Linked DNA regions of Mus musculus. The protein of the gene in region 5 binds, or shares a complex with, the protein of the main gene of each other region. Links are inferred from orthologs where the notes say so. Each region holds a gene or a part of one and is shown on either strand. Other genes may lie near its edges.

Evidence for each region.
Region 1: Cwc15 (region 5) and Ctnnbl1 share a complex: the UniProt entries of both Homo sapiens proteins name them as parts of the PRP19-CDC5L splicing complex. The link is inferred for Mus musculus from reciprocal best matches to the Homo sapiens genes CWC15 and CTNNBL1.
Region 2: Cwc15 (region 5) and Cwc27 share a complex: the UniProt entries of both Homo sapiens proteins name them as parts of the minor spliceosome. The link is inferred for Mus musculus from reciprocal best matches to the Homo sapiens genes CWC15 and CWC27.
Region 3: Cwc15 (region 5) and Rbmx2 share a complex: the UniProt entries of both Homo sapiens proteins name them as parts of the minor spliceosome. The link is inferred for Mus musculus from reciprocal best matches to the Homo sapiens genes CWC15 and RBMX2.
Region 4: Cwc15 (region 5) and Gpkow share a complex: the UniProt entries of both Homo sapiens proteins name them as parts of the minor spliceosome. The link is inferred for Mus musculus from reciprocal best matches to the Homo sapiens genes CWC15 and GPKOW.
Region 6: Cwc15 (region 5) and Bcas2 share a complex: the UniProt entries of both Homo sapiens proteins name them as parts of the PRP19-CDC5L splicing complex. The link is inferred for Mus musculus from reciprocal best matches to the Homo sapiens genes CWC15 and BCAS2.
Region 7: Cwc15 (region 5) and Bud13 share a complex: the UniProt entries of both Homo sapiens proteins name them as parts of the minor spliceosome. The link is inferred for Mus musculus from reciprocal best matches to the Homo sapiens genes CWC15 and BUD13.

What each region holds. Positions count from the first base shown.
Region 1 is NC_000068.7:157,817,324-157,821,120, reverse strand, and holds part of Ctnnbl1 (beta-catenin-like protein 1), read right to left. Parts: intron 3,367-3,797; coding exon 3,294-3,366; intron 3,071-3,293; coding exon 3,012-3,070; intron 1,668-3,011; coding exon 1,519-1,667; intron 1-1,518. UniProt on the Homo sapiens protein: Component of the PRP19-CDC5L complex that forms an integral part of the spliceosome and is required for activating pre-mRNA splicing.
Region 2 is NC_000079.6:104,806,684-104,810,480, forward strand, and holds part of Cwc27 (spliceosome-associated protein CWC27 homolog), read right to left. Parts: intron 1,150-3,797; coding exon 1,037-1,149; intron 98-1,036; coding exon 1-97. UniProt on the Homo sapiens protein: As part of the spliceosome, plays a role in pre-mRNA splicing. Probable inactive PPIase with no peptidyl-prolyl cis-trans isomerase activity. As a component of the minor spliceosome, involved in the splicing of U12-type introns in pre-mRNAs.
Region 3 is NC_000086.7:48,707,988-48,711,392, reverse strand, and holds the end of Rbmx2 (RNA-binding motif protein, X-linked 2), read right to left. Parts: intron 2,504-3,405; coding exon 2,320-2,503; intron 1,818-2,319; coding exon 1,324-1,817; 3' UTR 674-1,323; downstream 1-673. UniProt on the Homo sapiens protein: Involved in pre-mRNA splicing as component of the activated spliceosome. As a component of the minor spliceosome, involved in the splicing of U12-type introns in pre-mRNAs.
Region 4 is NC_000086.7:7,707,107-7,711,031, reverse strand, and holds the end of Gpkow (G-patch domain and KOW motifs-containing protein), read right to left. Parts: intron 3,097-3,925; coding exon 3,011-3,096; intron 2,922-3,010; coding exon 2,787-2,921; 3' UTR 771-2,786; downstream 1-770. UniProt on the Homo sapiens protein: RNA-binding protein involved in pre-mRNA splicing. As a component of the minor spliceosome, involved in the splicing of U12-type introns in pre-mRNAs.
Region 5 is NC_000075.6:14,499,359-14,503,591, reverse strand, and holds the start of Cwc15 (spliceosome-associated protein CWC15 homolog), read right to left. Parts: upstream 2,974-4,233; 5' UTR 2,811-2,973; intron 1,677-2,810; 5' UTR 1,669-1,676; coding exon 1,538-1,668; intron 779-1,537; coding exon 666-778; intron 1-665. UniProt on the Homo sapiens protein: Involved in pre-mRNA splicing as component of the spliceosome. Component of the PRP19-CDC5L complex that forms an integral part of the spliceosome and is required for activating pre-mRNA splicing.
Region 6 is NC_000069.6:103,170,087-103,174,504, reverse strand, and holds the start of Bcas2 (pre-mRNA-splicing factor SPF27), read right to left. Parts: upstream 2,851-4,418; 5' UTR 2,733-2,850; coding exon 2,640-2,732; intron 2,558-2,639; coding exon 2,465-2,557; intron 1,272-2,464; exon of another isoform or gene 1,231-1,271; coding exon 1,160-1,230; intron 166-1,159; coding exon 4-165; intron 1-3. UniProt on the Homo sapiens protein: Required for pre-mRNA splicing as component of the activated spliceosome. Component of the PRP19-CDC5L complex that forms an integral part of the spliceosome and is required for activating pre-mRNA splicing.
Region 7 is NC_000075.6:46,281,500-46,286,016, forward strand, and holds the start of Bud13 (BUD13 homolog), read left to right. Parts: upstream 1-1,512; 5' UTR 1,513-1,531; coding exon 1,532-1,674; intron 1,675-4,517. UniProt on the Homo sapiens protein: Involved in pre-mRNA splicing as component of the activated spliceosome. As a component of the minor spliceosome, involved in the splicing of U12-type introns in pre-mRNAs.

The DNA.
Region 1 (3,797 bases), on a different chromosome or scaffold from region 5:
GGAACTTTAGAGTTCTGTACATTGATAATCCCCAAGTCATTTAAAACACAAAACTGGTCATTGTAGACTACGTCATGATAGTGGAAATGGCCGCAATGTTCCTTGTGTCCCTCAAGTAGTTACTGCCCTCTCATGACACTTATGTCACAGAATGACAAATACCACGGGAAGTTAAAAAGGAAACAATATGAAACGGTAGAATGTGGCAGGACTAAATGTTAAATCAAACAAACAAGTAACTCCCACCAAAATAATAATAAATGATGATATAATAATAGTAGTACTGACAATAAAACCAAGAAGACTCTATCTGCCCAAAGGTGGGCTACTCTTGGGTGACAGACTGGGGCATTTTAGCTTCTGGGAGGACTCGGCCTTGTTGGCAAGACACTTAACAAACACAGTAACTAAAAATATCCTAATAGAAAACAGAATGAGGGGGCTGGTGAGATGGCTCAGTGGGTAAGAGCACCCGACTGCTCTTCCGAAGGTCAGGAGTTCAAATCCCAGCAACCACATGGTGGCTCACAACCATCCGATCACGAGATCTGACTCCCTCTTCTGGAGTGTCTGAAGACAACTACATAGTGTACTTACATATAATAAATAAATAAATCTTTAAAAAAAAAAAAAAAAAAAAAAAAAAAAAAAAAAAAAAGAAAACAGAATGAACACCCACAGTCTAAATTATGCTTAATAAGTATACGTCCAATTTGTAAGGCACTTTCAGAGACATCTTTGTTCAGTTGTCACTGCATGTGACTAGAGGTTTTACGATGTTTGACCCCGGCTCAACTCCACGAATTCCATGATTAGAAAATTCCTAATGTGTTTGCAAGCAGCACCCAGAGCCTCTCAATTTCAAATGCTGTCCCTTAGTGGTACTCCATTCTGGTCACCTCCTCAGGAACTCTCTTTTCCTTCCCAGCCACATTTCTCAATAAAACACCCAAACAAGCCACTTCTCCACTTTATTTCCAACTTTAAGATTCTTTGGACTAACTGAGAAGCTGAAGCAGTGTTGTCTTTAGAGAGTAGAGCAGAACAAAAAAGATACATTAAAGGAAGTATAAGCCCACAGTTGTAGAAGCATCTTTCATATTTCATATTCCCTGTGCTTAGGCACACGGCACACACAGAATTCATTACTGAATGAATAAATATGAATATTTTGCTGTCAACGGCAGGAATATAGACAGAGAGATCTATGGAGCATACAGATTTTGAGACGAACAAGCCCAAAAGGTAATGCTTAGCTTTCTCCAAAACCAACACAATAAAAGAAACAAGGACATGATCCTCAGGGCAGTGGCTGCGTCACCAACTGACACCCGGCACACAAACGAGGCACAGCTTTATGTGCCAGCCCACCCTTCAGGAAAGCTCAGACACATCCCTAAATGAACACTGTCTGGATGAATGGGAAACTCAAGGGACTGAAGGACCACAGCTACGCATCCTAAAGTCAGGCTAGCAGTGCCGGGCAGACAGACAGGCACAGTGAGGACTGGGGCAAACCTGAGCATGAGGTTCATGAGCTGCAGCCCCTCGCCCTTCAGGAAGCGCTCTCGATTGGAGCTGAGCATTAAGCAGGAACAGAGCGCATCGAACAGGTTCTCCATCATTTCCTGCTCCTCAGCGGTGCTGGGGTTGTGTCTTTTAAATACCTGCCAAGGAGAGTAGAACGGAGCCATTAAAAAATGCGCACCCTACAGTTTCCAAAGCCCACCAAGGAAAGTGAACTCTACTAATGAAGCTCTCGCCAGTTTCCAGCTTAGAGAAACTGAGCTTTCTAGGTGTGGGCACTAAATAAAGATATACAAGTTCACATAAAAACACTGAGCCAAGCACTGGGCCGAGATTGACTGACAGCGTCAAGGCAGCAAGTCAGCCAAACAAAACAGCACACCTCAGGCCTTGGCCTCTGTGAAAATCAGAAAGAGACAAGGCCATACTGGACACACACAGTGAAACTGAGAGGGAACACGTCTGAAACCACAGCTCAGCTCCAAAACCAACTCTGGCAGAAAGCCCTACAGCCTTGTCCCTGCTCCGTCCAGCCCCACTTCACCCCCTTTCTACGGTACCCACAACCCAGAGTAGCCGATCCTATCTTAGGTGAAGAGGTGCTTCTTCACAGCGCGGCTGCTGCATTCCCCTCACTCAATAGCAGGGGCTCCGAGGCCCAGGCATGCATCTGGGCAGCTGTGCATGTCAGCGCTGAGCACGGGTTGGGAGAGCCCCTGAGCCAGCTGGGCAGGTGGCCCCATAGGGGCTGCAATCAGTGACTGCACAGCACTTCATGGGAACCGCAAACAGCTTCCCACCACAAAGCTCTATTTTTAGGGTGGAGGCCAAGTCACTCAGCGGCTGGCACGGCAGGAAAGCTGTATGCAAACTGCCGTCTCAGACACTCAACACTCTTCAGCCTGTATCCAAATGATCTATTTTCAGTGCTGTTTTGGAGTAACACAGATAAGGTTTTTGAGGAGGAACCCTGATGGCACTTCCAGACTGCCAGCAGGTAACATTTCAACTGGATTTACATTGCTTTCAACCAGCAAAAGGCACGTTCCACCTTCCCACTCCCGCCTGCAGTGCCACAACCATCCCTACTGTCCCGACCACCACGACCCTCGTGCCATGGAGCTGGAAACTGCTCTCCTTGCGCTCCCCTGGAACCTCAGTGAGCAGACAGACTCTTCTAGGGAAGGACCAAAGGGGAAGGAGCTGAACCGTGCTGGGTGCTAGAAAGGAACACAACTGGCTCATCCTGGCTGGGGACAGAGGAGAGCTCCCTACTTCTCCCTACTTTTGGATCAGCAGTTGGGAAGGGCTGTGCCAGTTTCACCATGACACTCGATCAGAAAGGGCCAGTGAGTAAGAAAAAAAGGTAAGCCCTGTGCTCCAGTGTGACCTCCAACCTGCCCTTGGTCCCCATGTGGCTGCCCCTTCCCATATTTCTACTTCTACCTCCCACTGAGAGCAGGCCCACAGGAACAGGTACTCACGGATAACTGCTGAAGAAGCACGTCAATGCCATCCAGCTCTCCCAGCAATTCCCTGTTTTCTAAAAGAAGGAAAATAAAGGGAGAAAAAAAAAAAGAAGCCAACTGTCAGATTTTACAGCCGTCTACCACTGATCCGTCAGCTAACAAAATCAATACAGCTTGACAGAGTACAAAAGCTGCACGGAGAGCAAGCAGAGAGCCCAGGCGATGCCAAAGGCAAGTTCACCGGATCTGAGACTGAGTGTGGCTCCCAGCCTGGCCTGTCTCTGTGAGGGCACTCACCGTCATTGTCCTGGAGGAGGATGGCCAGCACTTCACTACAGTACAGCTTGTTGGCATCGAAGGGCATCTTGGCCTGTGGGAAACAGAAACGAGAGAGCCATTAAGGAATCTTGCTCCCTTTCCAGGGCAAACTGTTTACCCACCAGATACGAGGAGGTTAAAGGAAAGGCAGGTTAGGGGGACCAGATACATGTTCTCAATGCTAAATAACAAAGGGACAGAGTAGCCCTACCCAGTGTGTGAATGTACCCTCCTCCACAGAGCATACCTTGTGCCCATATTTTAAGTCTAGAGACTGTGTATCCCCAAGGCAAGTAAGAGAAAGTTTTGAGCTTATAAGATTAAAACATATGAAACTCCAATTTACAAGTTACAACCAGAAAATGAGGCTGTAAATTAGCTGATACATGATCAGAGAAGTTGAAAAGAAAGCAAGTTCTTGTTGAGATTAGCTAAAAATATTTATAACGAAGTAGCTCCTTTTGGAATTTTTTTAATGTTTAA
Region 2 (3,797 bases), on a different chromosome or scaffold from region 5:
GAGTAAAGAAAAACTGGCTGCCATTATCATGTGGACCAGCATTTGCCATGGCAACCAGTCCTCTCCTATTAAAACGCAACCGTGAGTGAAATTCATCCTGCAAGAATGAAAGAGATTTAGTGACTGTTCTCAAGTCATAACACCCTTCATATTCAATCAGCTACGCAGCAGACCAGCAAGACTCAGACAATTTCTAATCAAAAATACTGAAGCTTTATTTAACTGATTTTGAAGTACAATCAAATCCAAATTTACTATCTGTTCAATGCTCTTAAACCTGAATTCTGCAGCTTGTATGTTCTAAATATATTCAGCCCCGTAACTATCTTCTGGAAGTCTACTTACAGAGGAAGGATGCTGCTCAAAGGGAGTCAGAGTCTAAGTCTCATTTTCCTACTCACCTCAGAGTCCTCCAACCCTTTAAAACAGTCCAGTGTTCCCAAGAAACCCACCTTTGAACCACTGTAAAGCCACCAGCTATTGTTGCACATGTTATGAAGTGATGGGTTTCTTCTTGTTTTTCAATTCTGAGAATCTTCTATAAGTGCATTAATGTGATTTCACTGTGTTTTTAAAAGTCCTAAACCATTCTAAGTTGATTCTTCTCAGAGACGGCATGAGTCTGTCTTAGCAGAGTGTAACAGTGCAGGGCTCCACTGTTTCTCAGTTGCTTTCTGTATTCTGAGAGCTACTCAGAACTTCCCCTCAGACTGAACATTGGAATCATCTATGACACACCCATCTAGCACAATAAGTGCCTTTTAAGCATCAGAGACTATTTTTCTTTAATATATTAGCCTTAAGATCTGAATACAGTACATCTCACCAGGAGCCAGATAGACAAATACCTTGACTTTTGCCTTCTAGGCCTTCAGCACAAAGGCTTCCCATAAAATAAATCAGAAAGACTGCTCGGTAGGTAGTATTTGCTCTGATCTCTGAAAAACTTTAACTCCACTGACTTTGTATATTACATGAGACATTCTTGTGGGACACGATCACTTTTGAAGAAGCGTTGCAAGTAAATTGATCTGACCTTGAATGGGGCTCCATAGATAGATTCTCCACCAGTCCCAGTGCCTGTGGGATCTCCACCTTGGACTATAAAGCCAGGTACAACTCTATGAAAAATGGTGTTGTCATAGTAGGCTGAAAAATAATATATCAAGTTCTAAAAGTTAGTATCACTTTAATTATCACAGTTAATATACAAACAGAGCCACAAGATTTAATTTCCAGAATGCTAAATTGGCTTTTAAACCAAAACCTTTCCTCTCCACTTCTTAGAAAACAATCAATTTTCAAACACTATATGTTTCTACAGAGACAATGGTGGTTTAGTTTTGGGGGATTGGTTTGTTTGTCTTTAATCTCCATAATTATCAATTATAAATTACTGTTTTTAAATTAAAAATAAGAAGTTTAATACACACCAATGTCTTTCAACTGGAGGAAAGAGAAGAAGCAATTCTGCACCCTGGGGGCATTTATCAACATTTTCAAATATTTTTGGCTATCAAAACTGGGAAAACTGGGAAATACTACTGGCATCTTGTACAAGATGGCAAGAATACTGCTAAGCATCCTGAAGCCCAAAGGATTGTTTCTGCAACAAAAAATATCCAATCCCAAAGGCTAGCACTGCTGGGGCTCAGAAGCCTAGGTAGGAGATAGCTCATTTTTGCCTCTTCCATTTCTCCTGATAGAAAATTAACTTAATAATGTACAAAAAATATAAACCTGCAGATAGAAGTTCTAGCACTGTCTGTGCAGTCTCCTTTACGTTCAATAAGTGAAATAACGTACTTTATTCTAATTAAATATCTAAGTGATTTTTCAGAAATTATTTATATATAAAAATATAATTTCTAGTCACAAATATGCAGCATCAGTGGTCTCCCTTAGAATGCCTGGTATGAGACCAGAATCATTGAGAAGGAAAACACTAGTTAAGTAGGACAGAAGCATAGGACATCCCCTAAGAAAACTGAAACTGTTGCCTTTTGCTTTCTTTTCCTTCCTTTGTAACAATTTTATATTTTAAGTCCAAGATTAAATCTATAATTACAGATATTTGGGTTTTTCAAAGGATATGACCACCTTTCTTTTTTTTTTCCAACTTTTTATTAGGTATTTACTTCATTTACATTTCAGCCCCTCCCATCCATGCTTTCAATCATTTGCTTTTATTCTGAAAACTACACATTGTTGCTGCTATTGCTATACTGAAAGGTGCATTATAAGACTCAGAAATATTGTAACTTCTTCAAATCATTCTTCCTAAAGATTAAATAGAGTTATCTACATTATTTGACTCACCTAAGAAATACCTATCTTTTTACAAGTGTATGCATGTTTTGCCTGCATGTATGTCTGCACACCACATTCATGCTTGGTGACCATGAAGGCCAGAGGCAGCACAGGATCTTCCAGAAGTAGAGCTGCTGCTGACTGTGTACCGCCATGCGGGTGCTTGGAATTGGACCCCAGACCTCTGACAGGGCAGCCAGTCCTAAATATTAAGTCTTCAGCAGACGTAAGAGCTGAAGTGCCAAGCCATCTCTCCACCGGTCTTCTCAGGTTTTCAGTTAGTTAGCAATAATTTCATTCAATTCTTACCTGTTTAATCATTACAAATATTGCTCTGGTTATCTCTATGTCTGTAAAATTTCCATTCATTTCTTCTACTTATAAAAATGGGAGGATATTTTTTTTCGTTTTGATGCAGGTAAGCTTTGTCAGCCCCCAACTGAACCTCATGCTTATTTCATTGCTGTATTCTGTCCAGATTCTTTCTGTCTATTTATTCACCTGCTCCACGGATTGCAATTTACCATTCATCCTTTCTAGTGTTTTTGTGATTTCACTTTCCTGTAAAATTTGAGCTTCTTTAAACTTATTACCAGAAGTCAGACTTTTCTTTGTCTCATGTGTTTCTTAGCTTTGTTGACAGTTATTCTAACTAAACTACCTGTCTGATTTTATTTCCTTCCTGCCTGCCACAGCAATTACTAATAATGGTCTTTGCAGACCTGTTTTCTTCGTCTCATCTGAGGGACTGGATTCTTTTATCATTATGTCCTTACACTTTCCCCTGTCATGATAGATTTATCTAATTTCTTCTATTTGGAGAGCTTTGTCCATATCATATGACAGGACACTCTGGATTCTTAAATACTTTGTTTCTGACACCACAAAGAACACTGTCTCTAAAAATCAGGTCTAACTGGAAGACAATGACTTGCCACCACTGGAGACATTTAAAGTCGTATGTAGTACATTCTATACGCCAACAAGAAACTGTGAAAACTGTATGAAATGTAAAGCTGCATAAACAATTATTCAAGAATAAAAAATACTAAGTGAATATAAAATTTTGCAAAGCTTCTTATAAAGAAAAATTATCATGTTATGACACAGAGTGATAATGAATCAGGCCAGGTGGTAAGCTTTATGGAAAGCAGACTTTGAACAAAGTGATAAAAATTGGCTTTACTTCCATAAAAAGAGAGTGAAAAACATGGAAAGAAAGGAAGAAAGAAAGAAAGAAAGAAAGAAAGAAAGAAAGAAAGAAAGAAAGGAAGGAAGGAAGGAAGAAAGAAAGAGAGAGAAAGAGAGAGAGGGGGGAAGGAAGGAAGGAAGGAAGGGAGGAAGGAAGGAAGGAAGGAAGGAAGGAAGGAAGGAAGGAAGGAAGGAAGGAAGCAAACAAGCAAGCTAGCTAATATGAGGATTGTGGAAAAGGAAATAGAATGTTCAGGAAATAGAGGGAATGGCTGACTGGAAGCACATGATTAGTG
Region 3 (3,405 bases), on a different chromosome or scaffold from region 5:
TCCCAGCCTCAAGAAGTGTCTCTTCACAACGGAGACAATTACAGTAGTAACTAGTCAAAATGCAGAGAACTGACAATAGGGTGTCCAGCCCCAATTACTACACCTACAACACATCCCTCCACCTAAAGCTCTGGGCACATCCCAGAGGAAGGGGTGGAAAGATTCTAAGGGACATGAGTCTATTAGCAATGTGGCTGCTCACATGAGAGCTCAAGAATTACATCGTTCACTTGCCAGGGTGGATAGGGAAAATCTCAAAGGCCCCAGCCCTAGGTGAAGAACTATGGGCAATTAAAGACTAATGAGAGGGAAAATCAGTCTGCCCCAAGAAGAGTTCCCTAAATGTTTATCTAAACAAGTGGTCAACCCTAAAACCTAAATGTACACTAAACAGACTCCATCAGGTTCCATTTATCTAATTATTCAATATTTATAAGTAACAGTAAGTAATTAAAGAATAAAAGGTTATGAATTTGAGTGGGCATGAGAAGTGATAGGGCTTTTTTCACAGAAATGAGAAAAGTATCAAAGAGCTGAATCCACAGAAACAAAAGCCTGTTTGTGCTCATTCAGGGATTGTCTCTACTACGACTAGAGAATGTATAAACAATGTTCGGATACAAGAAAATCGTATTTAGTAATCCAATACTGAGTGGACCAAATGCCCCGAACTGTTTAAATGGTTAACTTTATTTTATATGAATTTCATCTCAATACAAATAAATAAGTTACAAAGAAAAAATACACAGACATGTCTGTAACCATATCAAAAACTAAAAACCAAATAAAGGGAACTGGGCTCTAGCTGAGTAGCAGAGCACTTGGCATGTGCAAAGACCTGGGTTCCATCCCTAGCATGGCAAGAGGAAATGCAAAGGGGAAGGAACTGGCTGGCCTCAGGAATCCTATCACATCCTTATTAAGCTCATCAAATCTCATGAGCTGCAACTCTTCACAGGTGTACCTGCCGTCTGGTAGGCCCTACAGTGCTGGGCTCTAAATAGCTAACGTGGAGACTAGCACTCCAGCACTGCCTTGTGTTTTGACTTCCCTGGCAATCTCATCTTAAATCAGAGGTTTGTGGGTTTAAGGGTCAAATTTACAAGCCAAATTTTAGGCACATACTCTGGTCAATACTAAATATTTTCCCAGATACAACGGATCATGTTTGTTTGTTTTTAATGTAGATATCTAGCTATTGATCTTTTCACCAACTCTGTCAGGTAAGGGATTGAAAGAATTCAATCTTGAATCTTTATATACAGAAATAACAGCAACCAAGAGAAACTGACATTATGCAACCAAAATCAGCTGAATCAGGCTTCAGTGATGTCTCCGGTCACTGCCATGGTAGGAGTCCCGCTCCCGAGAGTGCCTGTACTTTTTGTGCCTATGGGACTTATCTGGACTCCTACTCCTACTTCTACTTCTATGGCTCCGCCCATCAGAATGCCCCCTGTGCCTGCCGGAATGAGTCCCCGAGCTCCTCCCTCTCTCCCTCTCTCTGCTCTTCTCCTCGGCCTCCCTCCTGCTGGCGGACTTGTGCTCATGCTTGGGTTTCTCTTTCCTTGCCTTGCACTCAGGGTCCTCTGCCCTAGCATGGTAGGAACTCCTGCCATCAGGGGAGCCCGAGTGACTCTTCTTGCTCTCTCTGTGTTCTGACTTCTGTGCTCTCTCGGAAGTCTTGCTACTGTGCTTCCTGGAAGCGCGCTCATCCTTCTTCTCCTTCACTGTCGCGCTTCTGGAGCAGGACGGCTGCTCTGCCTGGGCCTGCCCTTCCGTCTTCTCTTTCTTCCTTTTCTTTTTCTCTTTTTTGTCTGGAAGGGGGCAATCAAGAAGAAAAAGAAAACACACACAAAAAAAATCTCTTTAAAATGTGCCTTTCTTATCTCTGTAGATCATGTAAAACTGAGACATTCCAAAACGTCCCCATGCTAGCTAGCAGATGGAGAATGCACATGTACTATACACATCCCAGGCAGCAGCAGGAAGCAGTCACAGGTTATGCCTCCTGACAAATGTCTCTAAGAATCAAATAGGACACCTGTTACTCCTGATGGGTCAAGTTGTACAAAACAACCCCACACAGAAGGGCTGTCTCCAAAAACAATATCACTTTGAGATCCGCAAGGGTTTCAGAGCACATTAATTCTGCCCGCACGACTAGCCTTCCTCCCTTAGATACCTCTGCTTTCGTGACCACAGTAAGCATTCTCACACCTTCCCCTTTTGCAATGAGGAGTGGATTGTTGACTATCTGTGCATGCTTGGCAAAGACACTAAGGCTACCCACTCTTCTCCTGAGTTTTAATATGCTACCTTTTTTGTGCTTTTTTGTGAGCTTGGCATCTTCATCTTCAGAGACTTCAGGAGGACTTGATGGGGGTGTTTTAACCCCACAGCCCTTCTCTTGGAGCTCTCTAGTCACATCATCCACATCTTCTGATTCCTGAGGAGCCCGGTAGTTTGACACATGGTCCACACGGATAGTTCTTCCTTTAATCTAAGCAAAGGGGAAATGTTTCAGCAAAGAGCTCCCGCATCAGACTATTTAAACAACTAAGGAAGCAAGGTTTGAGGCACACCCATTGCCTTGTATAAAGAAATGATTAAAGAAGGCATACATTAATGCACAGCACTCTGGGCAGCTAAATGGGGCCTGGGGGCAAGTGAGCCCTCTAGACCAATTATGCACAGAGCCCACCCTCCTCCCTTGATATACTACAGGTGTCATGCAAATCTCTTCATATTCTGTGTGTATCACGAAGTTTAAAAAAAACACTCAGAAGTATTGCCCTAAAGCACAGCATCATGAAAAACTGTGAGAATTTACAATTTAAAGCACAACTGATTGTCTATAAGGAACTGTGTTCAGTTGGTAAAACTTGCCTTATAAGAATAAGAACCTGAGGTTAATACGAAGAACCCACATAATATTAGTGTGATGGCATACACTTGTAATTCTAGCATTGTGAGGCTAGATAAGAATACTAGCCTACTTGATAATTTCCAGAGAGTGGGAGATAAAGGAAGAAAGGAAGAAAGGAAGGAAGGAAGGAAGGAAGGAAGGAAGGAAGAAAGAAAGAAAGAAAGAAAGAAAGAAAGAAAGAAAGAAAGAAAGAAAGAAAGAAAGAAAGAGGGAGAGGGAGGGAGAGGGAGGAGGGGAGGAGAGAAGGAGAGAGAGAGAGAGAGAAGACAGACAGACCTACCCTACTTGATAAGTTCCAGAGAAATAAGAGATCTTGTCAAAAGAAAGAAAGAAAGAAAGAGAGAGAGAGAGAGAGAGAGAGAGAGAGAGAGAGAGAGAGGAAGGAAGGAAGGAAGGAAGGAAGGAAGGAAGAAAGAAAGAAAGAAAGAAAGAAAGAAAGAAAGAAAGAAAGAAAGAAAGAAAGAAAGAAGAGGAAG
Region 4 (3,925 bases), on a different chromosome or scaffold from region 5:
AGGCAGATTTCTGAGTTTGAGGCCATCCTGGTCTACAGAGTGAGTTCCAGGACAGCCAGGGCTACACAGAGAAACCCTGTCTCAAAAAACAAAAAAAAAAAAAAAAAAAAAAAAAGGAAAAGAAAATAAAGAACAGAAAACTATTATAGACCAATTTCTTTGAACATAGATGCAAAAATCCCTAGGCAGGCATGGCAGAAGCTAGCCACAGGGAACTGTGATGATGTCTGTGGCCTATTTTACTACTGAGGGCCATGCAGATATCTGAGCTGTGTGCTGCAGACTTAGGACTATACTAATTTGAGCGGCCTGCACTGCCATCTGAGGCCATGGTGACATCTGGCATGTACTGCCGATAAGAGCCATGTCTGCGGTCCTACTACAGCCAGGGTCTGTATTGATGTCTGTGACCCATGTTACCACTGAAGACCATGGTCTTTGCTGTGACCTGAGGCCATGTTGGTGTCCTTGTTACTGGATGGGCCTCGTCTGGGTCTGTGGTCCTACTGCAGCTTGAGGCCATGTTCAAGGTCTGTGCTGTCATCAGAAACTTCTGCTGTGAAGAGCAGGGAGGCTACTTTTGCTGTGATATTGATGACTGCAGACGTACAGCTAAGACAGAAGACCACGAAAGGCTTCTGTGACAACCCCTATCCCAACTCTCCAAAAAGTACTAGCCTACAGAGGAAGGACTCAGTTCCTTAGGAGGCAGGCCACAGAGAGTCTGACTATGCTCCAGTGACTACAGAGATAACACAAATGCGACTTAGTTTTATTTTCTAATTTTTATTTATTTTTATTTTAACTTGTTTTGGTAGGGAGGTCACAAAGTAGTGTGGGGGACAGACATGGAAGGACTGGGAAGTGTGACGAGGATGTATGATGTGAAATTCTCAGAGAGTCAATAAAAATGTTATGTTAAAATATCCTAACAAAATGCTTAGAAACTGAATCTAGGAACACATTGAGAAGATTACACATTATGACCAAGTAGGCTTCATTCCCAAAAGGCAAAGGTGTTTCAACATACATATACAGCAAATGGAATACAGCATATAAACAAACTCAAGGACAGAAAAACATGAATTATTAAAGTAAGTGCTGAAAATCCATTTGACAGTGATAAAAGCTGTGAGACTGTAGAAATACATGGAAATATGTCAAAATAATAATGGCTATATACAATAAATCTATAGCCAACATTATATTAAATAGACACACTGAGCATTTCCTCGGAAATCAGGAATGAGATGTCCATTGTCCCCTACAGTATCAAAGTCTTAGATATAGCAATTAGATAAGAGAAGACATAAAAGGGACAATAGGAAGGGAGAAAACCACAGTATCCTTTCCTATTTGAGATAGGTTCTTATTAGGAGTTCTGGCTGGCCTGGGGCCTGTTTTGTAGACCAGGCTGGCTTCGCACTCATGGAGATCTGCCTACTTCTCTCTCCTGCCTGCGAAGCTCAAAGGGTGTGCTACTTCACCTAGCACATTTCCTGCTAGGTTTTTCAGTGAAGCTCCTCAGACTGTCTTGGAACTCGTGGAAATTTTCCTGCCTCAGCCTCTCAAGTGCTAGATTACAGATATGGGCCACCACACTCTGTGTGACTCATGTCCTTTTGTCTGTTTATTTTGGCCAGAGAGTTCAGCCCAGTTCTAGCCACATTTACCAGTCTCATTGTGTTCTGGGATGTTTTGATTCTTTTCAGTGTGTGTGGCGGGCTGACAAGTTGGGTATTTTAACCTGTGGCACAGGCCTAACTTAAATACTATATATATTAGGGATTATCTAGAAACAATTGTGTCTAAGGCTCTGACTTTTCTTCTCCAACCATCAAGCAGGAAAAAGGTTCAGGATTCTCAACAATAACCTTTTTTTAAAAAGAATCTAATCACCCATGGCAAGCAAAGAAAGTGCACGAGTCAGAAATACCTTTTAACCTAAGCCATGTTCGGGGACTAGAAGTGACTAGTCCTTTGGAAACTGGAGCCAACCCGTGCTGTTCATGGGCAGAAGTTCCCCTTTCTCTTCAGTGCATTATCAGCCCAGAGACATTCCTAGAGGTCAAACGTATGTGCTACTAGCATAATCCCGAGCAAGAGTCCTTTACCATATGGGCACAGGAGCTGGAGAGGTGGCTCAGTGCTTAAGAGTGCTTACTGTACTTCCAAAGGATCCAAGTCTGCTCCCATGCAGGGCTCCCATGCAGGGCAGCTTACAATTGTCTGTAACTTCAACTCCTGGGGAACTCAACATTAATGGTCTCTGAGCATTCACATATTTTCTCTCTCTCTGGAAGCATTTGTATTCACAATCACATACTCGTTCTCTCTTACACACATAAAACAACAACAAAATACAATAAATCTTAAAAAAAAAAGAGCCTTTGAAGACCATTCAAGATCCAAACTCAGGAAGTTGTTCTGAGATGCAACATTGCAGATTCTATTGTGTTTGTCTGGGGACAGACTTCATAGATTTCATGTTCCAAGGGTAAACTATGTACTGAATGGGGAATTTAACTTGTCCTGAACCCTCAGCAGGGAAATGAGGCTAAGAAATGAAGTGTTTCCACTTTGATTATCTCAGCTTCCACCCAAATTTACAGTTTACATACTGGTTTTGATTTCATCTTTCCACTATTTAAAATGGTTTTTATCACACTCTAAAGTTTGGTAAACAGTTCTGCTCTATCTAGTCACATCCCCATCCTTGCATCTCAAAGGAGGACAGAACATCTGTCTTCTCCCTGGCATCTGAGCGACGGGCAGTGGTCCATGTGTCAGTCTTCATCTGAGTCACCGGGGCCCATGTACTGGCAGATGGCGTTATAGTGGAGCTCCACCACCTGGTTCTCTCTCCTAAGTTGGACCAAAGCATGACTCTGCGCTCTGTCCCGACTCCTAAGAAGTCCCACCTGAGGAAGGATGGGGCAGAGTAAGCAAGGTCAGCCAACATCCACAGTGATCTGATCTTCAGACTCCTATTTCCAGACATGGGACTTACCTTTCCAGCATGTGGTCCGAGCACCACCATCACACGGTGGCCTTCTCCCTTGGGAATCAGGGTCTCCAGCATATCTTCTCTCACATCTACAGATGAGGGAGAGGGAATGAGGTCCACAGCAAGAACCAGCCTGGTTGGTAGGGCCTTTCTAATATTTATTAGAGCTACTCTTATATCCTGCTGATAGATGGAGTCACACTCTACCCATTTCACAGGTGAGAAAACCAAGGAGTAGTTTACAGAAGTTACCACAATACAGGAGCATTTTCCTACAGAAACTATGTACTGGGCATGTTTTCAGCCTACCCTATAGTGCAAGCTCAGTACACTCCTTCCTGTAAAGGCAATAGTTTTGATAGGGACAAACTGTCATTTCCTGCTACTCTAACTTGGAAAATACATAGGGTTTAGGCTATCTCTTTTAAGGAAGTATCTGCTCTGAAAGAGGATGCTGGGTCTTGCAAACAACCTGAATCCTGCCTAACTTCCCAGATCTTGGCCCGAGATTCTTTTTTTTTCTTTTCTTTTCTGTACTTTTCCATCCCCCTTTCTTTCTCCATTTCTTTTCTTTTTAAAGATTTGTTTATATGACTACACTGTAGCTGTCTTCAGACACCCCATCAGCAAATCCTACCGGTGTGCGCCACTACTACCGGCTTCAGACACCCCAGAAGAGGGCATCAGATTTCATTACAGATGGTTGTGAGCCACCATGTGGTTGCTGGGATTTGAACTCAGGACCATTGGAAGAGCAGTGGGCGCTCTTAACTGCTGAGCCATCTCATCAGCCCCCCTTTCTAGCTTCTAAAAAGTTTTTTTAGATTTTTTTTTTTTTGGTTTTTGAGACAGGGTTTCTCTGTGTAGCCCTGGCTGTCCTGGAACTCACTTTGTAGACCAGGCTGGCCTTGAACTCAG
Region 5 (4,233 bases):
AAAACAAACACTTACTTAGCATATTGAAATAAGTACTAGAGTGGTTTTTATTTATTTATTTACTTATTTATTTAATGAATACACCATCATTACTCTCTTTTAACACACTGGAAGAGGGTACCAGACCCCATTACAGATGGTTGTGAGCCACCATGTGGTTGCTGGGAATTGAACTCAGAACCTCTGGAAGAGGTGGTGCTCTTAACCACTGAGTCATCTCTCCAGCCCAAGTACTAAATTTTTAAAACCATTTTAGAAACCTTTGGGCAAAAAGAATCCACACAAAGCATAGTGACACCCGGGATCCACCCTGTGACTGGCAAGTAAGTCTTTGATAAATATTTGTTGGTTTACACGAAATGAATTAGTGAGAATGCAGATCACAGCATCTTAGGAGACCTACCCAATGCTCACATGTAGTAGAAACACAAAAAGGATAACTGATGCTTCTCTCAAAACTCTTCAATTACATTCGGTGTCCCAGACAGAAGGCCTAGTATCAATGCATGATAGTATCAATGCATGGGACTGGAACAAACCTCATTCTCATCTCTAATCATTCATCAAAGAGATACAGCTCACAAAAATGCTACTTATTTCCAATTACCAGGATACACACAGTTTCTGCACACAACTGAGACAGACATGACGGACAGTACGGGTACCTCGAGTTGGGCGGTCCCTGTTTTTGTCCCTTGCAGCAGCTCTCTCTCTCTCTTCCAGTTCTCTCCTGAAGTCACGGTTTCGAACCTCTTCAGGGGCATCCTGTGTGGTTTGTCTTAAGTAGGAAAAACAAAACAAAACACGTCAAAAATGTTGGCCTCACTTGTCAAGGAAAAGAACCTATATAGCTTCAACAATTTAAGACAATCCAGAATGTAACTGTCTGTCAACAACAAAAAGGAAGAAGATAAGACAATATCCCAATCTGAGGGTTAATACACTCGTAGTGTTCCTTATCACTAGAACAACAAACTAAAGCACACAATTGCCTACAACAGAATGTCTTTGGCTTTTAAAAAAAAAGATTTATTTATTTTATGTATATGACTACACCATTGCTCTCTTTAGACACACCAGAAGAGGACATCAGACCCCTCCGATGGTTGTGAGCCACCATCTGGTTGCTAGGAATTGAACTCTGGACCTCTGGAAGAGCAGTGCTCTTAACTGCTGAGAAATCTCTCTAACCCATGTCTTCGGCTTTTTAAAACAGTCCACCAATTCAAGGGCTGTTAGAGCAACACTTCCATATTCACTACAGCTCCGTCTTCTCTGATGTGATTATCATGACTAATGAGTGCTTCATCTACACATAGCAATTCCTGGTTCAAAGGAACTTATGCTGGAAGACTGTCTAGCAACTTTACCTGTAGGGCGTAATTTTATTGTAAACTTTTTTGAAATACTTCTCTTTGGAGATCAGTAACCTAAATACTATAATTTAGACATGACCATAAGTCATATATATACATACATATATATAGAGAGAGGCTTGGTCCCATTCTGTGAACAAGACAAATGAAGGCCTTCTTACCTGTACTTTATCTTTGTATGAGAGGGAAGATCTCTGCTTGAATACTGCTTGGAGAGCTGGCTCAAATCCCCTTCTCCTTTTCCTCTCCCACCTCTTGCAGGTTCAAAAGTTGGCCTGGCTGCTGTTGTCATCTTTTAGTCTTCGGCAAAAGTGAATTTAAGTTATACTTTCATTTTACAGATAACTCAAAAATATCTATTCTTAAATCCTTCTCAAACTCCCCAAAATTGCTTAGTTTGCTTCAACACAAGTTCCTAAAAATCCGAATTATGAAACTCAGGGTGTTTACTAGGCAACTCTTATTCAGTATAAATAACTACTATGAAGATCTGAGTTAGTGCTTCTGTTCTGGCTGGGTAGCCCTGGGCAAGTCTTCTAGCTCGTTTCTGTCATTTGTGGAATGCCGACATTTCTATAGTATTATGAGATTCCCATACATGATGTCAGATCTTGCACAACAGTGTAGTGTAGCTTTTAAAATAAATGACTTAAAAAAATGTTATCCCACTAGCACTAGCTTCTCTGAGATTTTATTTTATTCTTTTTTAAAAAAAATTTATTCTTTTTTTTTTTTTTTTTTAATTATAGGATCTCACAATGTAACTGTCCGGCCAAGATTTGCTGTTCTACCAGAAACCTCACACTACAGCAAAGAACCCAATAAAAAACAAATTTCTTTTAAAGTCACAGTCAAACTTATTATGTTAAAATTTGTTTAAAGTCCCCAGTGACATTTACATGGGCAACCATTACCCCAGAATCTTGTTGACTCAATTTTCTTCTAAAGCAGTTACCACAACATTTATCAAGGCTGTAACTTCCGCGATGCTCAGAAAATCGGAACTCCACCCAACCAAGTATCAAGAACCCATCCTGAACTGGGTATGATGGGGGTACTCCTGTGATTCCAGAGCTTGGGAGGTGAAAGCAAAAGAATCGGGAGTTCGAAGCTAGCCTAGGCTACAAGAGAACCTTTGCCATTTTTAGCTGTCAAATAAGAATTGCAGCCTAACTGCAGGGCTACTAAATCTCCGTTAGCTTAAGCAGCTGCTCACACAGATCGTGTGTGAAGTGGGAGTTTCTCCCCATCCCACCCTCCTTTGCTTTTCTCAGTGTCTGAGGCGCTGCACCGGTGACCGCCCCGGGCTCGGCTTCAGCTCCGGACCACCATCCCTGCACCGCGGCCTGTACGATCGTCACGGGCTGCGGCGGCGACTCGGCTCCCCGGTGCCACCCACACAAGAACCACAAACCACCATGCCCGGCTGCTCACTCTGGCGGGGGTCCTACGCAGCACCTTCCGAAACTCACTCATGAACCAATGCGACCCTTAGCTCCCAGAAATCTCGGCGCCGGGGGCGCCAGGCCCAAGACCGGAAACAAAATGCAGAGCTTCCAGTTTTTACACCAGGGGCTCGGTTGAGACCCGGAAGCAAAACCTTCGCACTTCCAATGGCTGTGGAGAAGATGCGAACTCCACACCCGGAAGCAATTCCGGAGTTGTGTGTGTGTTTTTTTTTTTTTTTTTTTTAAACCGTCTCTCACAGGCTGACGCAGTGACCAATCAGCAAAGACACGGGAAAAAGATGGAATGACGTTGCCTAGGGGCGGAGCCAAGGCAGCTTAGGGGGCGGGCGTTTGAAACCGGTGCTTCATAGTCGACCCCAAATATCATCTTTTTTCCTTTGCGAACCAATTACTTAATCTCTCTTGCGTCTTTTCCTTTCCCGACCCCCTCCCAGACTCGTTCGCTGCGGTTCTGCGAGGACGGAGGCGCCAGGAGCCGGTCCGCGTCTCGCAAGAGAGATGTGAGGAGAGCTTGCCAACTGACCGACCCAACGGCTCCTGCTCCTCAGTAGACCCCGCAGCCTAGGGACTAGAGTTGTCACTTAAGTGGATATGAAGAAGGCGCAAATAAGTACGGGGGCAGCCACGAGCTTTCCAAAGGTACCATTCCTGCGAAACCACTAGCCTTGAAGGCAAGGGTTATAGTCGCATTGCTTGTTAAGATATATAAATATATAGATATATAGCTATATGCATTAAGCGTTGTAGCGTGAGGGGAGATGCTTGTGAGCGTTTACGATAGTGACAATTTATGGAGCAGTGGGCCTAACTGCCAGGAGGAGCACGAGATGGGATTAAGATGGCTTCGCCAACGTTGTCTTGTGCCCCATCATTGAGATCTTGGGGACGGCCGATGCTCGGTAAAGAGGATTCTGTTCTCCAGTTTATCTCAAGTGGAAGGGTCTCCTAAAATTGAACATTTCCGTTCTTTTCTGTCCTTCCTTTGGAACTTTTAAATGAAGAAAGAGAATTAGAAAAGAACCCACTCCCTCCCGAATGTGCCCGCTCCCCAAGTAGAAGGTGAAAGCTTCATATTTTTGCCCTGAGCCTCACACAAAGGACACCGCTTTCACATTAGTGACTCAAACCCAAAGATGGAGACCCTCTTCCTTCCCTCGTCACATCCTGTTCACCTGCCACTCTTGTCCAGTATTGTGAAAATTACCCTGAAGTTCCTTTGCTTGTCACCACACTCCTTCAGGCCACTGTCATTTCCTCTTGATTTGTAATTGCTTTCATAGGGACTTTCCTAGTTTTGCACAAACAGAGTGATTTTTTCAGATTACCAGGTAGTGGTTTTGACACTTAGGATAAAACAGCCTCTTGCTTTTACTTACACAGTCTGCCTC
Region 6 (4,418 bases), on a different chromosome or scaffold from region 5:
TACTCATTGTACACCTTCCAGGCATTGCATCCATGCTGTGACATCAGCTCCAGATTCTCGATCCGGACCGCCTGGTGCTCCAACTGAGCCATAGAATTGTTTACACATTCTTGCCATGCAGTAATGTCATTTTTTTGACCTGAGGAAGGGGCTGGAAGTTCATATCTGAAATTACATAACAAACAAACCAATGTATCTTTCAAAGCCTTCATCACTCCTTCCAACAGAATTCTCATGGACATATGCCCACTACATAAAGACAAAGACACAAATTATCAACTCCCGACCACACATGCACAGAGACCAAGGATATAATGTAGATCAGGCAGTACAAAGAAACCTGTTAGTTTGGAAACTGATTTACAGATAAAACTAACAAAAAAAACCCTATTTCCATAAATGTGAACTAGTTAAATGAGCTGTGACAGTCACCAAGACTCTCATGTCTCTTGTTCCTATTTGTCTATCATGACCTTTCTTAGGTAATGTCTAATTATCAGCTTTAAAAAAAAAAAAAAAAAGACTTTTAAAAGATTAATTATTTCATGTATGTGAGTACACTGTCGCAGTCTTTCCACACACCAGAAGAGGGCATCGGATCTGCATTACAGATGGTTGTGAGCCACCATGTGGCTGCTGGGATTTGAACTCAGGACCTCTGCAAGAGCAGTCAGTGCTCTTAACCGATGAGCCACCTCAGCAGCCCTTTAGGCAACTTTTTAAAAAGCTGATAAGCAGTGCTGGAGAGATGGCTTAGCAGTTAAGAGCAGTGACTGCTTTTCCAGAGGTCCTGAGTTCAATTCCCAGTAGCCACATGGTGGCTTACAACCATCCATAAAGAGATCTGACACCTTCTTCTGGTGTGTCTGAAGACAGCTACAGTGTACTTATGTATAACAATAAATAAATCTTTTTTTTTGTTTTTTTTTGTTTTTTTTTTCCAAGACAGGGTTTCTCTGTGTAGCCCTGGCTGTCCTGGAACTCACTTTGTAGACCTTTGCTGGCCTCGAACTCAGAAATCTGCCTGCCTCTGCCTCGTGCGCCACTACGACCGGCTGGTACTCTCTTTTTATTCTCACTTCCTACCCACAGCAGCAAACACAAACACTCTTCCAACCACTGGCAAAGCAGCTGTTACCATAGCTCAACCTCATCTTACCGTTTCATGCTGAGTAATTCAATCGGTTGTCGAGCAGCGAGTCTTTCAAATTCATTTCTCATTATGTCTGTCTGATGCACAAACACCACAAAGAATTAGTAACAGAATCATGCTGAAAATAATGAATGCAGTTTACTGAGATTTTATACTTTGTACTACACATTATAGCGAATCTTTTCCCTTCTCAATCACTACTCAAAAAAAAAAAAAAAAAAAAAAGGATGCTAATATTTGAACCCAGGGCCACTGACACATCCCCCAGTTGAGGTTAATTCTATCTAGAATCTGAAGAAATAGGCATATTCTTTAATTCCATATTCTGCCCAGGCATGAAAGGAGGTGGACATAGAAGAGTCCACCTCTCAAGGATTAACCCTAAACCAGCAGTTTTCAATGCCCTGTAGTCAGCCAGCTGTGGAACTCTGAAAACAGCTTTAATCCCAGCCCCACGTCACGTTGTAATTCACAACACACAACAGTCTTGAATCATTTCAGGAAGTCTCCGCTGCTGCATGACGAACTGACACAGTGTAAACTGTTTGGGTACAGTGTAAATGGTGAAGTCACATGATGTAACATGGACCAGAGCTTAGATCTGGGACTTGAGTTTTCAATTAATTTCTGGGTTAGTACTTTTTACTCTTGCCAAATTTCTTGCAGCTCCCACATCAGTTATGAAACCCCCACTGAGGAGTCACAACCCAGTTTAAAAACCTGGCATCTAGATCCGAAGTATCACACATCCCTGCGCATGGAGCAGTCTCCTTTCAGCCTGAAAGTGCTTCTAACAACATCTAAGTGGTGTTTTTTGGTTGCACTTGTAGAATAACCACTTAAAAACAGCATGCAGTTAGACATGCTTGTTCAGGCATTCATACACCTGTTAACTATCTGAGACTTGGTACAAAAGAATCTCCCTCCAGGGGTGGCAAAGAGTACAGGTACTTAAGATTATAAATATTAAAATCTCGTGAGTGATACCTGTTCTTGAGTGGACCTTAGAGAATAAAGGGCCCTTTTGTGAAATGTACCATGACTCTTCTACACACACACACACACACACACGGAGGTGCACACTATTAAACAAATCTGCAGAAACTAATGGAGCATTTCGCAGGTTCTTGTAGTACGAAGCCCGTGACATGCGCATCTGGCGGTTTCAAACCGACTCACACCTACATGGCACTCAGTACGAGCTGCAGGCACCAGCTAACTTGGAAGGTGGAGTTCACTTTACACAGCTAAAGCCCTCACTCCCGTATCAAAGTCCGCAAGCCTCCTGGCTTACTTCAAAGGCACACTTACTTCAAAGGCAGAATAATCCGGGGCCGTCAGGTAGCTCAGGTAGTTCTTGGTAGGTCGGTATCTGCGCGTCTCCTCCTCCACCAGGGCCGCCGCCTAAGAACGAGAACAGGCCAGGGTCGCGGCGGGAAAGGGCGGCGTGCCTTCGGCGGACCCGCCGCACATGACCCGCACTCACCGCTTCCCGCACGCCGGGTGCCTCATAGCCTTGGTCAAAATATGGTAGCGCATCTACCACCACCTCTCCGGCTACCAAGCCCGTGCCCGCCATCGCGCGGCACTAGGCTTCAAGAGCGCCTTCTGAGTCTGCGCAGCCTCGGTTCTAATTCCACTGCGCCTGCGCCTGGAATGACGTCACACACGCCGCTGCCTTTGGGGCTTCGATTCGGGCGCACGCGCAGTTGGTAATTATAGCCACTAGGCTCTAAGCCTAAGCATCACGTGCTGGCGTGCCGGGGTGCCTTTCTTTGTATGGGTGCCGTTTTTTTTTTTTTTTTTTTTGAAGGAGTGGGTAGGGCAGACTTCGGAAGAGGTGGTTGCTGGACTTGGCTGGAGGGGAGAAATATATTTTCCACATCCTTTAACCTTCCATTGTTTAGACTCACATAGTGCTGGGCTTCTAGCGCTCCCTTGCTTTATCCTCATTTCGCAGCCGGTCCCTTAAGAATGTTCTTTTATAGAAACTAGAAATGTGCGCCTATTTTCCAATTAAATTTTTAGATCCAACAACCTGAGGGGTGCGGCTCAATGGCAAAACCAGGTCAGTCCGCAGCACTGCAAACACCTCATCCCTTCCATGACTGTAATTATAACTATAAAATGCCTCATTTTAGAAGCTCTGCCTTGGAGTGGAGGCAACTCAGGGGAGAGCTAGAAGCCCAGAAAAAGGGAAACTCACAGGAATATGCTAGGGTGACCATAAGACTTGAAGCAACAGGGGATATAGGACCTGAAATGGCCACCTCCTGGAACCAGGCAAGACTTCCAATGGATTGATGGGGACACCAATCTACCCACAAAACCAAAATTTGTCCTGCTTACAAGATGTGTGGGGATAAAGATGGACTAGAAACTGAGGGGATGATCAAGGCCCAACTTGAGACTCATCCCATGAGAGCAAGCCCACCCCTGACACTATTAATGTTTTGCTACACTTCCAGACAGGAGAGGCTTCGCCCAACAGCTGCTGGAAACAGATGGAAAGATCCACAGCCAAACATTAGGCAGAGCTCTGGGAATCTTGTGGAAGAAGGGGAGGAAGGAATGAAGGAACCAGAAGGGTCAAGGACACCACAAAAAAAGCCATACAGAATCAACTAACCTGGTCCCGCAGGGGTTCACAGAGACTGATCCACCAACCAAAGAGGCTGCAATGGACAGTCCTGGATCCTTACACACATGTAACAGATATGCAGCTTCTGTGGGACCCCTAACAGCTGGAGCAGGGGCTGTCTCTGACTCTGCCTTTGGACCCCCTTCCCCTAACTGGGCAGCCTTGTCTAGCCTCAACAGAAGATAGGCCTAGTCTTACTGCAACTTGCTATGCCAAGGCTGATATCCACGGGAGGCCTCCCCTTCTCTGAGGAGAAAGGGAGAAGATGGGGAAAGGAGAGAAGAGAGGGAGTAGGAGGATAGGTGGGAGGGAAGGCTGTGATCAGATAAAATAATGAGAAAATCTTGCTATTTTTTGTCTTTAGGGCCTATACAAAACCCAATCATTTTTGCCTTTAGGATTTGTGGTAATAAAATATTACTCCACGTTGCCTCTCAACCCCTCAGGCTGTAGTTAGCATACATTCTTTGTAAAATATCTTCCAGACTAAGAGGTAATGAAAAAAAGATTGTGAGACTATATAAGCTATCCAGTGTACGTTCAACCAAGAGCTTTGGAAAAGTTGATCTCGGTTATAATCCTGGTTAGTCTAAGCTGGATTTGAGTATTTACGAATTTACATTG
Region 7 (4,517 bases), about 32 Mb from region 5:
CTGGCTCTGGGCATGTGAAGTACTGACTCAGCAGGGAAGGATGTCGGAGGGGCCGAGCAGGCACAGGTGAAGACGCCACATTAAAGTGATGGCCTTTAAACGACACCCGCCTCTGCGTTCATGTCCTTACTGATTACCATGTGCTAGACTAAGCTGGGTCACACTGAGTCACACTCAGCTCCGAGGAGACTGAGGACAGCTTGGGCCATGCAGTGAGAGTCCGTCTTCATGAAAAGAAATGAGGAAGGAAAAACCAGTTTAGTTTCCTAAGCAAATCTTTCTTGAGGTGGCTGCTGTAGAGGCAGCATTTGATTCACTCCAATAGGCCATCCTGTCTGCTCTGAGCCAGGTACACCTGTGTGGAGTCTAGCTGTTCTCATGCAGCTTAAAGCAGTCTGGAAAAGCAGGGTGGCACACACCTTTAATCCCAGCAGAGGCAGGTGGTTCTATGAGTTTGAAGCCGATTTGGTCTACAGAGGAAGTTCCAGGACAGCCTGGGCTACACAGAAAAACCCTGATTCAAGACAAAACGAATTCAAACTGGATAACCAGCACCATCCTTGTTTGGCCTCTGCTAGCAAAAATTAGAGCCAGGCAGTATGAAGATGTGTGGGTTCCTGTACTTACCCGAAAGTTCTTATTATCTATAAAGGAGGCTAATAAAACTGAAGGGTAGGTCATGGTGTCCAGCCACTTGAGAGGCTGAGGAGGAAGGCTAACAAATTCAGGGGCAGCTTAGGCAATTTAGATCTTCAACATTCAAAAGAGTGGGGATGTAGTTCTATAGAACTCCTGCATACCATGTGCAAAAGGCCTTGGGTTTAATCCTCGGTGCTGGATGAAAGAAAAAAAAATTGTGAGGGTTAAGTGAGAAGTCATAAAACACTTAACCCTTTATAGAAGAAACTCCAGAATCTTCCTGGTTTCTTTGCCACACTGACCACGAATCCATTTCACTGGGAAGAGTTTATATCATTTTTTAGAAAGACATATCAAAGGTGAGAAGGTCAGTACAGGTTTGATAAAAACCTATCAAACTTTTATAGTCACAAGTTTGACTTCCCCTAAATGGTACCCGGAAGCCTCTTCCAGCAGACTTCCCACCAAAAGGTATTTATAGCAATAAAAGTGATTGAAATTGAAACGTTTGGTACAGCGTCCATTATTAAAACGCTGCTCAAGAATGTGCCCCTAGTGGTACAGCTATGGTAAGTCCCACCATTCATACAGGTGTTCTTCCTTACTCTGGCGCTGATGCTGCCAGGGTAGGATCATGTTACATCGGCCTGTGGCTTCTCAGCTGAGACAGCGTGGGCTGCAGGCTGTTGCACCGATTCGTCGTCTCAGGAAAAGCACAGCCAGCCCGAGATGCACGCACTCTCCCCTGGAGCCTCTTAAGGCTCAAGTCTTTAAGTCCAGCAGTTCAAAAAGTCCCCGTCCTAAAGCTTCCGCTTCTGGCTCCACCCCTACCGTTTCGCGTTGAAGAATTTTGTCCCCCACGCCGAGCTGTTGCCCCGCCCTCGCCGCTGCCATGGCGGCAGCTCCGCCACTCACCAAAGCTGAGTATCTGAAGCGTTACTTGTCTGGGACAGATGCTGGCTTGGAAGGAGGTCCCGAGGCCGGTCGCAAGCGGCGCAAAAAACGGCCGAAGCCTGGAGGCGCTGGCGGCAAGGGGTGAGTGGACTGGTGAGGTGTCGCGCTGCCCGGTGGCGCCCTCGGCCGCAGCTCTTCCTCGTCCTGGCCCGCGCGGTGCTGCCGACCCCGGCCCGAGCTCAGGCCCCGCTCCACTGCCCCGGGGCGGGATTGTAGCTGCCACTGGCAGCTCAGACCTCATCCTCTGAGCAGCGCCTTCCTTGTGTTAAAGGCAGCTAGAACTTAACTCACTTTCTCCCCGCGTTTGTAGCTTACGTCGTTCCATGTACAGATTGAAAGTCGTGTCCAAGAATAGCAAAGCTGATTCAAACCTTTTTCTTTCTCACTTTATTTCTCTCTTTCTCCCTTCCCTTCTCTTTCTTTCCTTCTTCTTTTTCTCTTCCCTCTTCTTTCTTTCTTTCTTTCTTTCTTTCTTTCTTTCTAGATCCAAAAATCTCTTTCTGAGGGTTCCAAAGTGCCAGGAACTGATCTGGAATCAAAGACCCATATCCTATTACTCACATCTACTACTAACAGTAACAACTAAAATGGGAACAGTTCACATCCTGTGCCTGGCCTCTTTCTAAAATAGTTGACCATATAGCTTTCAGAACATTGTAATGGAGCAGACATTTATATTAAACACTATACTTCCAGATTGCAAAGAGATGTGCTGAGACAGAGTTCAGATGAAATGTCCATTAGTAACTTGGCCACTGGAATCTGGAAAGGTTGGGTTAGGATATCCAACATCAACCTACAGAACAAAAGGAAATGTCTGTATTTGTAGGCTTTAGAGCAGCAGCCCTAAGTTTAGCAGCTTACTGAAGGTGCTATTTTGGATAGAAAGTTGAAACTCTGGGGGCTAATTCCATTCTCACACTCCACCCCCAGGTCTACTAAATGCTTATCAGCTTAAAGAGAGTACTAGATAGGATACAAAGTGTGGCTCACCCTCTCTGTGGGGCAGTATCATGGTCTAACAGTATTATTACCGTATGGTCCATTGAACTGGGTCGAATTAGTCCCTCATTTCCACACTTCTCTTCATTAGAGCTTGAGCATGACCTCATTTATAGATGGAATCTTTGTGGTGTTACCAGTTAAGATGAGCCTATATTCAGTTAAGGTGGTGTTGAATTCAGTGTGGCTGATGTCCCTGGAAGAAGGGGCAATGGCATGCAGGGGGAAAGTTTAAGCTTTGGAGCAATACTGATTAGAATTAGAATCCTAGCTGTGCTACTTATAGCCTGAGTGGTCCAGGGCAAGAGATGTTCATCTCAGCCGGGCGTGGTGGCACACGCCTTTAATCCCAGCACTCGGGAGGCAGAGGCAGGCGGATTTCTGAGTTTGAGGCCAGCCTGGTCTACAAAGTGAGTTCCAGGACAGCCAGGGCTACACAGAGAAACCCTGTCTCAAAAAACCAAAAAAAAAAAAAAAAAAAAGAGAGAGATGTTCATCTCTCTGAGCCTGAAGTCCCAGCCCCTTACTACTTGTCTGAAATGGTTGTTGTGATTAAAGCTGTGTCATGTGTTCCTGGCATTTCAAATAACCTCCTCCTTGCAGCACAGTTCATCTGTGTGGCACACATTTATTTATTGGCTTGCCACCACCTTACAGTAATTGGGGCACTGGTTCCTGAAGCTCAAAATGATACACTATTTTCATGTCAACTATTCACATCCTCTTTAAATCATCCTTAGATTAATTACTTAAAAGCCCACTACAGCTTAGGTAGTATGCCAGTAGTTACGTTATATAGGCCATTGTAACTAAAGAAAGTCTATCTGTTTAATACATTGGCCATTCCTTTTCCCCTGGTTGAGTTTGCAGTTGTGAAGTCCATGGGTGTGGAGGGCTGAATACCTCCTGTGACAGTTGTGTTGAAGAAGCCTTGATGAACAAAAAATGTATTAGTCAGCAGGATATGGTGGTAAAAGTCTATAATCCCAGCACAGGGGAGGCTGGGCTGGAGGATAGAGAGCTGGAAGCTAGCTATAGGGAACAACAACAAGAAGAAGGGAATAAATAAGAGAATGCCTTAGCCCTTGGCTGTTGGAACTTAGAATTTAATGAGAATATGGGCTGATAAATACAAATGAAAGCATTCTAAGAGTGTGTAGAGGTATTTCTACTCTGGGAGTAGGAGACAGTGAGCAAGAAAGATAGGTCCAAGGAAGTTATTAAAAACCAGGGTGTAGTGGCTATTCCTGGTTGTCAACTTGACAATATTTGGAATGAACTACAATCCGGAATTGGAAGGCTCACCAGTGACCCTTATCTTGAGGCTTGGAGATCCTTATCTGGATCTTGGTTTGGAGATCTTGAGCCATAGTGGCTATGGATTCCAGAAGATTGAATCTCCCAGTTTAAGGAAAACACCTTTAATCTGGGCTACACCTTTCATCTGGGATTAAAGGTGTGGTGGAACACACCTTTAATCTGGGCTACACCTTCTGCTGGAGACAATATAAGGACATTGGAAGAAGGGAGTCTAGCTCTAGCTCTTGCTCCTTCGCCTGCTTGCTGCGTGAGACTGAGTAGCTGCTAGATCCTTGGACTTCCATTCATAGCTGCGACTGAACCATTGTTGGGAATTGGGCTGCCGACTGTAAATCATCAATAAATTCCTTTACTATCTAGAGACTATCCATAAGTTCTGTGACTCTAGAGAACCCTGACTAATACACAGGGCCCAAAGAAAATAAGATTCGTGATTAACAGTGAGAAGAGTAGGTCTGGCAGAAGGAAGGGGGTGCCTTTGTAAAAACTGATATTACCAAAGGTGGACAGTGATGGAGTGAATTGACAGCACACAAACATTGAGCCATACCTTTAAGTTTAAAAGCCAGTAGGGGGCAGTGACATGGCTCTGCACTTGACAA